Saccharomyces cerevisiae S288C: one gene and its partner. Changing the gene in region 1 together with any one later gene gives a genetic interaction. Each region holds a gene or a part of one and is shown on either strand. Other genes may lie near its edges.

What was found.
Region 2: mutations in URA2 (region 1) and CEM1 together harm fitness more than expected from each alone (negative genetic interaction), as found in Saccharomyces cerevisiae (3 studies listed by BioGRID).

What each region holds. Positions count from the first base shown.
Region 1 is NC_001142.9:166,331-174,032, forward strand, and holds the start of URA2 (bifunctional carbamoylphosphate synthetase/aspartate transcarbamylase), read right to left. Parts: upstream 6,038-7,702; coding exon 1-6,037. Other genes in the region: TRK1 (Trk1p), read right to left, coding at 7,269-7,702. UniProt on the Saccharomyces cerevisiae protein: Multifunctional protein that encodes the first 2 enzymatic activities of the de novo pyrimidine pathway: carbamoylphosphate synthetase (CPSase; EC 6.3.5.5) and aspartate transcarbamylase (ATCase; EC 2.1.3.2).
Region 2 is NC_001137.3:277,772-281,497, reverse strand, and holds CEM1 (fatty acid synthase CEM1), read left to right. Parts: upstream 1-1,871; coding exon 1,872-3,200; downstream 3,201-3,726. Other genes in the region: glycerol-1-phosphatase GPP2, read left to right, coding at 816-1,568; FCY22 (purine-cytosine permease), read right to left, coding at 3,334-3,726. UniProt on the Saccharomyces cerevisiae protein: Possibly involved in the synthesis of a specialized molecule, probably related to a fatty acid, which is essential for mitochondrial respiration. Is essential for oxygen uptake and the presence of cytochromes A and B.

The DNA of each region.
Region 1 (7,702 bases):
AATGACGCATGACAATGGCATCACTGTAACAAGCCAAAGTTCTGATAGTATCTTGAAGGGTTTCACCTTTCTTGACAGAAGACACCAATGGATTAACATTTACAATTCTACCACCCAAACGTTCCATAGCAGCAATGAATGAAGAACAAGTACGAGTAGATGGTTCAAAGAAAATTGTAGTAATAACGTGGCCTTTCATTAAATCTAAGACACCTTCTCTTGCGACAGCTGCCCTTAGTTCTTGTGCAACAGCAAACAACACATGGAAATCAGAACGTTTGAATTGTTTGATAGACAATATATGTCTTCCGCGGAATGGATTGTTACTACGGATCAAATTCTGGATGGCGCCTGGAGCAACAAGTTCTCTTGGTGGCCTTGAAGACATCAATTTTTGTTCCAAAGGCTGTTCTGGAATTGCATCCTCCGCGGCATCTAAATTATCAGCGATTGCTTCTTCCGTGATCGAGAACCTTCTTTTAGCACTAGTAGATTGGAGCTCTGCGGAAGCAGTTATGGAAGCTGGACTTGGATTAACAATGCATTTTCCTTTGGCGCCTGGTGAAACTAATTCACCGCTCAAAACTAATGTTTCGCCATTATAGACAACACGCTCAATACCACCGTTCATATCTTTGTTGAATGGTGACCATCTCTTATTACGTCTGAAAGAATAATCCAAATCAATTTCGACAACTGAGTCCTGAGTAGGGATGTTGAAAATTTTAGCGGGATTGTCATGCAGACGAAGGACGATATCATCAATGGTTAATTTACCTTCTTCAACAGCAGCCAACAATAGTGGTAATGAATCTTTGATACCCATACCAACATCAACCTTGTTACCTGTGACATTTGCCAAGGCGACAGGAAGAGCACCGACAGAGAAAGCATCGATACTATCAAGGTTGTTCCAGAAAAACTCTTGATCTTCCTTAGTAGGCAAGAAAACTGCCTCCGGATAGTCATCTTGGGCAATAAACAAAGAATAAATATTGACATCACAAGTCACTCTAGGGTCTTTTGCCTTGACCGTCATGATCAAAGCTAAATCTTCCTTATTCGAAACACCAGTAATGTGAATAGATCTGTTTTGAAGGGAGGTTAACAATAAAACCGATGCCAAATCTGCAGTTTTAGCTTCTGCAATCACTTGCTTTTCAGTTGGCCACTGATTCAGAAGTTCAGCTACTGCTGTGATCTTGTTCTTTAATTCACGTAGGGGCAAAAACAATGCTGTCACTTTGCTAGCAGATTGCGTAACACTATGAGCATTGTGTGCTGTACCAGCAATAGTGAAAGAAAAGTCAGTGTAAGATGAATCTTGGGAAACAGAGTTTGCGGCCTTCAAGGATGCAACGTCAGTAATAACAGGTCCGCTGATGGATCTGGGCATCAATTGACAGTATGTAAAACCGGATTCCAAAAATAGACGTGTGGTCTCCTTCAGTTCAGCTGGGCCTTTGATAACATGGGATGCATTCGGAACATAAGTTGCGATATTGATTAAACCAGGTAAGGTAATAGTTCTGTGGGAAGTTTGTGCATCACGTTCAGAAACATCTAAAGTGATATTTCTTGAAATGGCTTCAATCAACAATTTTGCACATTTAACGTTAGTAACCAACGGAACCGAATAATCGACAGCCAAACGACGTGTTTTATACCCCTTTGAAACATAGGATGCAGGACGACGGAACCTGTTGGCAGAAGGCAAGTTGATGTAAAGGTCAATTTCATTATTAGCCAAATGTTGAGTAAGTGAGTATTCTGATTTTTGATCATCATCATCCTTGTTTAAAACCTCCAGATATTGGACGGCAATACCATGTTCAGATAAAAAGTCAGCAGTACCTGATGTTGCAAATAATTTATATCCCATGTTGTATAGTTTTTGTACGGAAGAAAGCAATTCTTGTTTTTCCTTGTAAGAACCAATAGACAATAAAATATTCTTCTTTGGAAGTTTGAAGCCGGTTGCCAACAAAGACTTTAAGTATGCTTCATACTTCGAGTGGCCAAAAGTAGCGACTTCACCAGTAGAGGCCATTTCAACACCTAAGACTGGATCAGCTCCTGCTAAACGTGGGAAAGAGAATTGTGGTACTTTAACGGCGACATAATCATCTGGTAATTTTTCAACAGGATAAGGCGTCAAAGGCAAACCCATTATGGCCTTTGTTGCCAATTCAATCAGATTGACGCCAACAACCTTTGAAATGAATGGGAAAGATCTCGAAGCACGAACATTACATTCTATGACCTTGATTTCATTGTCCTTTGCAATGAATTGGATGTTGTATGGACCTGTAATTTTCAAAGCCTTACCAATTTTAGCAGTGGCGACAACAATTCTATCCACAGTTTCAGGAGCCAAATCTTGAGGTGGAACGATTAATGTTGCATCACCCGAGTGGACACCTGCATTTTCAACATGCTCAGAGACAACATGCATAACCAATTCACCATTTCTTGCAACTGCATCCATTTCAATCTCCTTTGCGTTTTCAATATATTTAGTGATAACAACAGGATAATCACGTGAAACTTCGACGGCTTGGTTTAAGTAGGATTCCAAATCGTTTTTAGAATAAACAGTATTCATGGCGGCACCGGATAACACATAAGATGGACGTACCAAAACTGGATAACCCACCTTTTCGGCAAAAGATTCAGCTTCGTCCATGGATGTCAATTCTTTCCAAGCTGGTTGGTCAACACCAATTTGATCCAACATACGAGAGAACTTGTAACGGTTTTCAGCAGAATCAATCATGTCAGGGGATGTACCAAGAATCTTTACATTTTCACGATGTAAAGTCATGGCGATGTTGTTGGAAGTTTGACCACCCATTGATACGACAACACCGCTTGAGTTTTCAATCTCGTAAATATCCAAAACTCTTTCAAGGTTGATGGTTTCAAAGTATAGTCTATCAGCCTCATCATAATCTGTGGAAACAGTTTCTGGATTATAGTTGACCATGATAGTTTTGATATTGTTGGCACGTAATGTTCTAACTGCAGTAACAGCACACCAATCAAATTCGACAGAAGAACCGATACGGTAAACACCAGAACCCAAGACCATAACACCGTGGTCATCAAAGGATAAATCGTGTGAGTCAGCATTGTATGTCATGTATAAATAGTTCGTGTAAGCGGGGAATTCAGCGGCAACTGTATCAATTTGTTTGACAAATGGTGTAATTCCATATTCTTTTCTTAATCTACGGATGGCAACTTCGTTGGAATCCAAAAATCTTGCAATCTGTCTGTCATCAAAACCTAACTGCTTAGCCTGTCTTAAAACTAAGGAAGGTAATTCCTCTTTAGTACCAAATGAACTAATTTTCTCAGCAAATTGGACCAAATCGTGCAGTTTGTTTAAAAACCACTTATCAATTCTAGTCATTTCCCAGACTTTATCAACAGAATATCCCTTCTTAGCAAAAGCATTTGCAATGGCGAAGACACGCATATCCGTAGGGTTGTTCAACTCGTAATCAATGTCGATATCTAGATCTGTCTCATTGAATCCGAGGTTAGCATATTCTGTGGATCTGATAGCTTTTTGAATAGCTTCTTCGAAGGTTCTACCGATGCTCATAACTTCACCAACAGATTTCATTGATGAAGATAATTCGGTAGAAACTCTGGTGAACTTCTTCAAATCCCATCTTGGCATTTTGACAACACAGTAGTCTAGAGAAGGTTCAAAACAAGCACATGTGGATTTTGTGACGGAATTCTTAACTTCATTTAATGGGATATTCAAACCTAACTTAGCCGCAGTGTAGGCCAATGGGTAACCAGTAGCCTTAGAAGCTAAAGCAGAGGAACGTGACAAACGCGCATTAACTTCAATGATGCAATAATCCTTAGAAACGGGATTTAAAGCATATTGGATATTACATTCACCAACAACACCTAAGTGTCTAATAACATTAACAGCAGTAGTTCTTAACATATTGTAATCTTCATCAGATAAAGTTTGAGATGGGGCTACAACGATGGAATCACCGGTGTGAATACCTAGTGGATCAAAATTTTCCATATTACAAACAGTAATACAGTTGTCAAAAGCATCACGAACAACTTCATATTCGACTTCTTTCCAACCTTTCATAGATTTCTCGACTAAAACTTGAGGTGAGGATGAAAATGCAACATTACATAGATCAACCAATTCTTTTTCATTATTAGCGAAACCGGAACCTAAACCTCCCAATGCATATGCAGCACGTACAATAACTGGGAAACCGATCTCCTTGACAGCGGCCAATGCCTCGTCCACTGAATTAGCAGCTTGAGATTTCGCACATTTTTCATTAATTTCGTCAATGGCATTACTGAAGAGTTCACGGTCTTCCGTGGTAATAATAGTATCGATTGGAGTACCCAATACTTTAACTCCTAACGCCTCAAATTCATCTTTCATGGCTATACCAACAGATAAAGCAGTTTGTCCACCAAATGTCACATAAATGGCGTCCGGCCTTTCATGTAAAATAACTTTTCTCACGAACTCTGCAGTAACAGGAACAAAATAAACCTTATCAGCCAACCCTTTCGAAGTTTGGATGGTAGCAATGTTTGGATTAATTAAAATTGTATAGATACCTTCTTCTTTCAAAGCTTTGATGGCTTGAGAACCAGAGTAGTCAAATTCACCAGCTTGACCGATGGACAAACCACCAGAACCGAGAACTAGAACCTTCTTCGCTTCGATTCTAGGGTGTGCCTTAACGTTATCCTCTAATAGGCCACCTGGGAAAGCGATTGGTTTCAACACTTGTGTATACTTGAATTCTTTAACTGCTTGGATAAAAACGTCAAACAAGAATTCTGTATCTCTTGGGCCAGGTGTGGATTCTGGATGGAATTGGACGGAAAAATAAGGTAATTCAGAATGATAGATACCTTCGTTAGAGTCATCATTCGCGTTAACAAACAATGGCTTCCATCCGGAAGTTAGAGTGTCAACATCCACAGCGAACCCATGGTTTTGAGATGTTATGTAACAACGACCACTTATAGTTGATGTACAAGGTATGTTATGACCACGGTTACCAAATTTTAGTTTTAGGGTGGATGCACCGGCAGCTCTTGCTATCAATTGATGACCGAGACAAATACCGAATACTGGCGTCTTTTTAGCCTCCAGGACATTTGACAATCTTTGAGATAGATCATCTAGAACAGATGGATCACCTGGACCATTTGAAATAAACAGACCATCATAATCTTCTTTAGTGAAATCGTAGTTCCATGGAACAACTTTCAATTCTACACCCCTTTTGATAAAACAACGAATTTGATTGTATTTCATACCCACGTCAATGGCTAGAATCCTTAAAACTTTACCATCGGGTCCGGTTTGCAATTCGATGTGCTTATTGTCTGCTGGAGGAACGTACAATTTAGGTTCATTGATGGAGACCTTAGAAACTAGGTTTTGAACATTTGGATCCACCCATTCAGGAACATCAAACGCACTTCTCCAAGAGGAAGATCTGGAGATGGTTCTGTCAGAGCCGCTTTTTTCCAAAGACAACCTACCCAACATTGAACCTGCATCTCTCAAATGCTTGGTCAATGATCTTGTATCAACACCATAAACAGCTGGGATCCCTTCATTTTGTAACCATTTACCTAAGGAAGATTTAGCAAGATAATGAGAGTACTCGTCGGTATAGTGAGAAATAACTAAACCGGCAATATGGATTCTATTACTTTCAAAATATCTTGGCAATTCTTCGACCAATTCATCTCTCAAGTGCATATCTGGGACACCATAATTGCCTACCAATGGGTAAGTGATGACTAAGATCTGGCCTTCATAAGATGGATCGGTCACAGATTCAGGATAACCAACCATACCAGTTTGGAAAACTAATTCACCAGCGACGGATTTCTCAGCACCAAATGAATAACCTTGTAAGACCGTGCCGTCCTTAAGTTCCAACGTAACCAGACGGTCACCCGTAGATTCCATTGGAGGGGTGATTGGAGCAGTGGGAGCAATAGTGGCCATATTATGATTGTTATATTCTATTAGGTAAGGTTTATGTGTTGTATGCTGCAATTAGTTATGGATTTCTATCGTCGTTAATATTAATGTTAGTAATTGTTGATCGTTCAAGCCAGATGCCGATATAAAATCAGAACTAATTGAAGAGATTGATTTGCTTTCGTGCCATGAAGATCTCTATCAATTGCGATTCTTTTCTTTTTTTTTTCTTTCTTTTTTTTCTTTCCTATTCCAGGTAATGAAAAACGACATCATCGCAGAGTCAAACGGCTTCTATTTTCCACGCCCAGATACTAAAATACGCGCCCACTGATATTGCGACTGGCATCGCATGGTCTGAATAGATGGCAACATTAAGGCTTCTCAAAAGTAATCATAAAAAACATACTCAAATTTGAATGCTAACGGATTATAATGTTTCCTTTTTCTTTCAATTCAAAGTTGAACGTGGTGAGTCTTTAACAAAAGAGTAGAAGTATTTATAAGTTTTTTTGGCTAGATATAGCGGTATTCCTCAATTCTTTCTCAAGTGCTTCCGTAGAGAAAATGTTCAGGAAACCTTTTGTTTGTGGTTGTTGTCGACAGGTTTTTTATTTTCTACAATCAAGAATAAGATAAAAATACAAGACCATTAGGAAAGACGATAATTTGAAAGAAAATTGGTGTAGTTAAAACATACTAGATATGATATTATACTAATTGAGCAAAATAGAGAAGGAAAGAGAGGATTCTCTCTCTGAGTAAAATCGATGAGTGGGGATTTTGTCAAAGTATTTATACTTTTTGTCCATACCATTTGTCCTACTTTTTTACCGTTTTTTTTTTTTTCAAGGCCAGGGAAAAAAGAGTCATTGCGTTTGTGTGACATTTCTTTTAATATTCATCGGAGAACACCGGCGGGCCACAGAGAAAAAAAAAAAGTCCATATTCCATGTACACTGCAAATAACCAAGATTTTTCATTTTTCACGAAAAGAGGGACAATGTACTAATGGCGTTGACGATGACGAAAGCACCATTTTGGACATTGTATGTCGTACATTATCGTAGAGAGATTCGGTTGTCTTTAAGGGACCGAAAAAAAGAAAGAAATCTTAGGACATCAGAAATGTACGTAGGCAAATGTATATCACAATGTTACTAATCAAGGTTAAAAAAAAAAAATCCTTTTAATGCTTAATTACCTTCTTAAATATTGAGTACGAAAACCTATTTCTAAAGAATGAGTATATATGTTAGAGCGTTGTGCTGCTCCTTTTAGGATTTCGGGAATGTGTGGTCTTACGCTTAAGAGCTCCCCAACGATGTTTCACATCAGTGAAACTTCTCTTGAAATGTTCCGTCATTGGGTCTTCTGTATTGGTTCTAGCCTGTCTCTTCAATTTCATGCCCTCAAGGTGGTCAATATGTTCAAGTCTATCACTAGGCAAGATAATTGCACGATCCAGTGAGTATGGTAGACCTCTATTCTTGCCTCTGATCAGCATAGCTATGATCACCAACTTAGATAATGTAGTAAACTGTCTTGAAAACGATTGGTTGGTGTCCGGATAACCTAGCGATAGCCCAACTGTACCGTAAGCGCTAACAATTTCAAAAAGAATTGCAAATATATTAAAGTTTGGTTCTTGTACGTCCTTTATCTTGTCCCCTTCACAAATGCAAATGA
Region 2 (3,726 bases), on another chromosome or scaffold:
GTAATAAAATATATATCCTCGAATGAACCGCTGGCCTCGGCCATTTTCATATGACTTCATATCATTAATATGGCCGTAGGTTAAGCAATGCTACGTGAAAGATACCAATTCCAATCGTCTGCTTTCTCTCAAGAGGAGACTTTGCGTTCTTTAAAGGAGCAGAGAAAGAGGGAAACGGTGAAAAACTTCAATATTGATAACATCCATCAGCGTCTAAATTCCTATGCCTCCTTCGAAAATGGTCAATGTTATACCCTCTCCCATTAGATATTACCGTAGCGTACGTATTTGGCCCTGTCCTTTGGGGTTTGGCCTTCTCAAGTATTTTGGCACCTCGCCCTGAACGAAAAGCTGGCACTTTGTCCCCAGCCAAACTCTTCTCTCTAATATCGTCTTTAACGACAAGGTAAAAAGATTTCTGCAGTGTTCCGTCTGCGTCATCATCTGTGCCCCACAATCCGCGGCGTTTCCGTGTAAGCCGTCAAGTGAGGACTTTTCGGATGCTGAAAGAAAGTACGCTCGGAAAAACTACATAGCTGCCCCCCTAAACGGGCCTCCCACGTGACGTAAAGTAGGAATAATAAGAAGCCAAGTCGTTTCTTTTTATTCTAAATAAGTTCGTTTCTTTTGATGTTGTCATTTTCAGAAATATATATATATGCGCTTAAATACACAAGCTAAAACAACATAGTTAGGATTGCCAAAGGTTTCTTTTCTACTCAATTTGGTCTAACTCTTTTCATATTAATAGCGCCAACCAGCTAGTGTTTACCAGATCAGTGGAAAAACATAAAACAATAAAAACAATATTCGGAATGGGATTGACTACTAAACCTCTATCTTTGAAAGTTAACGCCGCTTTGTTCGACGTCGACGGTACCATTATCATCTCTCAACCAGCCATTGCTGCATTCTGGAGGGATTTCGGTAAGGACAAACCTTATTTCGATGCTGAACACGTTATCCAAGTCTCGCATGGTTGGAGAACGTTTGATGCCATTGCTAAGTTCGCTCCAGACTTTGCCAATGAAGAGTATGTTAACAAATTAGAAGCTGAAATTCCGGTCAAGTACGGTGAAAAATCCATTGAAGTCCCAGGTGCAGTTAAGCTGTGCAACGCTTTGAACGCTCTACCAAAAGAGAAATGGGCTGTGGCAACTTCCGGTACCCGTGATATGGCACAAAAATGGTTCGAGCATCTGGGAATCAGGAGACCAAAGTACTTCATTACCGCTAATGATGTCAAACAGGGTAAGCCTCATCCAGAACCATATCTGAAGGGCAGGAATGGCTTAGGATATCCGATCAATGAGCAAGACCCTTCCAAATCTAAGGTAGTAGTATTTGAAGACGCTCCAGCAGGTATTGCCGCCGGAAAAGCCGCCGGTTGTAAGATCATTGGTATTGCCACTACTTTCGACTTGGACTTCCTAAAGGAAAAAGGCTGTGACATCATTGTCAAAAACCACGAATCCATCAGAGTTGGCGGCTACAATGCCGAAACAGACGAAGTTGAATTCATTTTTGACGACTACTTATATGCTAAGGACGATCTGTTGAAATGGTAATCCTCTAAAATCGAACATATTTGAGTAATAATTCTCAGATACAGTCCTATTCTATATTCGCCACAAAACAAGTAATGATGCTAAAAAACGACACATTTATAAAATCACATCTTATTGATTAAATAAATACGTAGATAGATTTTTTTTTTTAAAACATATAGTGTGCTATTATTTCTGACTCTGTCTCATCTCAGAAAAATAAATGATAAAAAAGGAAGTAAAATCCTTAAACGTTATCAGGTTATTAGCAACTTGAAAGTGACAGGAGCCACAACGGATTAAAATTTAATTTCTAGTAAAGAAATGTCAAGAAGAGTGGTTATCACAGGATTGGGCTGTGTAACGCCGTTGGGAAGATCATTAAGTGAGTCATGGGGGAATCTGCTCTCTTCCAAAAATGGACTCACACCAATCACATCTTTGCCCAACTATAATGAGGACTACAAACTCAGAGAAAAAAGTATCCCATCAACGATAACAGTGGGGAAGATTCCAGAGAATTTTCAAAACGAAAATTCAGCCATCAATAAACTGCTGTTCACTAGCCAGGATGAGAGAAGAACCTCAAGCTTTATCAAGCTAGCACTACGTACAACTTATGAAGCGCTTCACAATGCTGGTCTCTTGAACCCAAATGATATAACCATCAATACATCTCTGTGCAATCTGGATCACTTTGGTTGCCTGATAGGTTCTGGTATAGGATCCATTCAAGACATATACCAAACTTCTCTACAATTCCATAACGACAATAAAAGAATAAATCCATATTTCGTCCCTAAAATCCTTACAAATATGGCAGCTGGTAATGTTTCCATCAAGTTTAACCTTAGAGGATTATCCCATAGTGTTTCCACAGCATGCGCAACAGGTAATAACTCCATTGGCGATGCATTCAATTTTATTCGGTTAGGCATGCAAGACATCTGTGTCGCCGGTGCAAGTGAAACGAGTTTGCATCCGTTAAGTTTAGCAGGTTTCATCAGAGCAAAGTCGATTACTACAAACGGGATCTCTAGACCCTTTGATACACAACGTTCTGGATTCGTACTTGGTGAAGGATGCGGAATGATTGTCATGGAATCGCTAGAACATGCTCAAAAGAGAAATGCAAACATAATTTCTGAGCTCGTGGGCTATGGTTTAAGCAGTGATGCCTGCCATATTACCTCCCCTCCTGCTGATGGAAATGGTGCCAAAAGAGCAATAGAGATGGCTCTAAAAATGGCTAGATTAGAACCAACTGATGTTGACTACGTCAATGCACATGCTACATCAACTTTACTAGGCGATAAAGCAGAGTGTCTGGCAGTAGCCTCAGCACTCTTACCAGGAAGATCCAAAAGCAAGCCACTGTACATATCCAGTAACAAAGGTGCAATTGGCCATCTTTTAGGTGCAGCTGGCGCCGTAGAAAGTATATTTACAATTTGTTCCTTGAAGGATGATAAGATGCCGCATACCTTAAACCTGGACAATGTTCTGACTCTAGAAAATAACGAGGCCGATAAGCTACATTTCATAAGAGACAAACCTATTGTGGGAGCTAATCCGAAGTACGCATTATGCAACAGCTTCGGATTTGGAGGAGTTAACACATCTCTTCTCTTCAAGAAATGGGAAGGGAGTTAATATTATTAAACTTATATATATATCCCATTATAATCGTTTTTGAATTATATGCTATCTATTCGAATGTCGAGATTTATCCATTAAAACCAATCATTTCAATGATTAGCAAAAATATTAATCAATTAACATTTAGTCATCGACCGAAATATTTGAGTTCTAAAGGTCTTACAATGTTATAGATGATGAACGCCCAACTTCCGCCTAACTCGAACCCAATGTCACCGCCGTACTCTCCGATCAAACGACTGATCTCACCAACCCAATAAGTTTGGCACATACCCAACGCTACTCCAAAGGCACCAGCAATTAAGGCAGCAGTACCTGCGATACCGATAGGTAGATGCTCCCAATTATCCCAATCATCAATATTGTAAGCACTGAAGGAACGCCTATAAATAAAATGCTCTGAACATGCAATGGCAATATAAATAGCCAAATAATAACCAATGGAATCCATAAAATTCTCCATAAAGCCGTCAAAGTAATAGGTAGCAGGGATGGAAATACCTAAAGTGGCAGCATTACC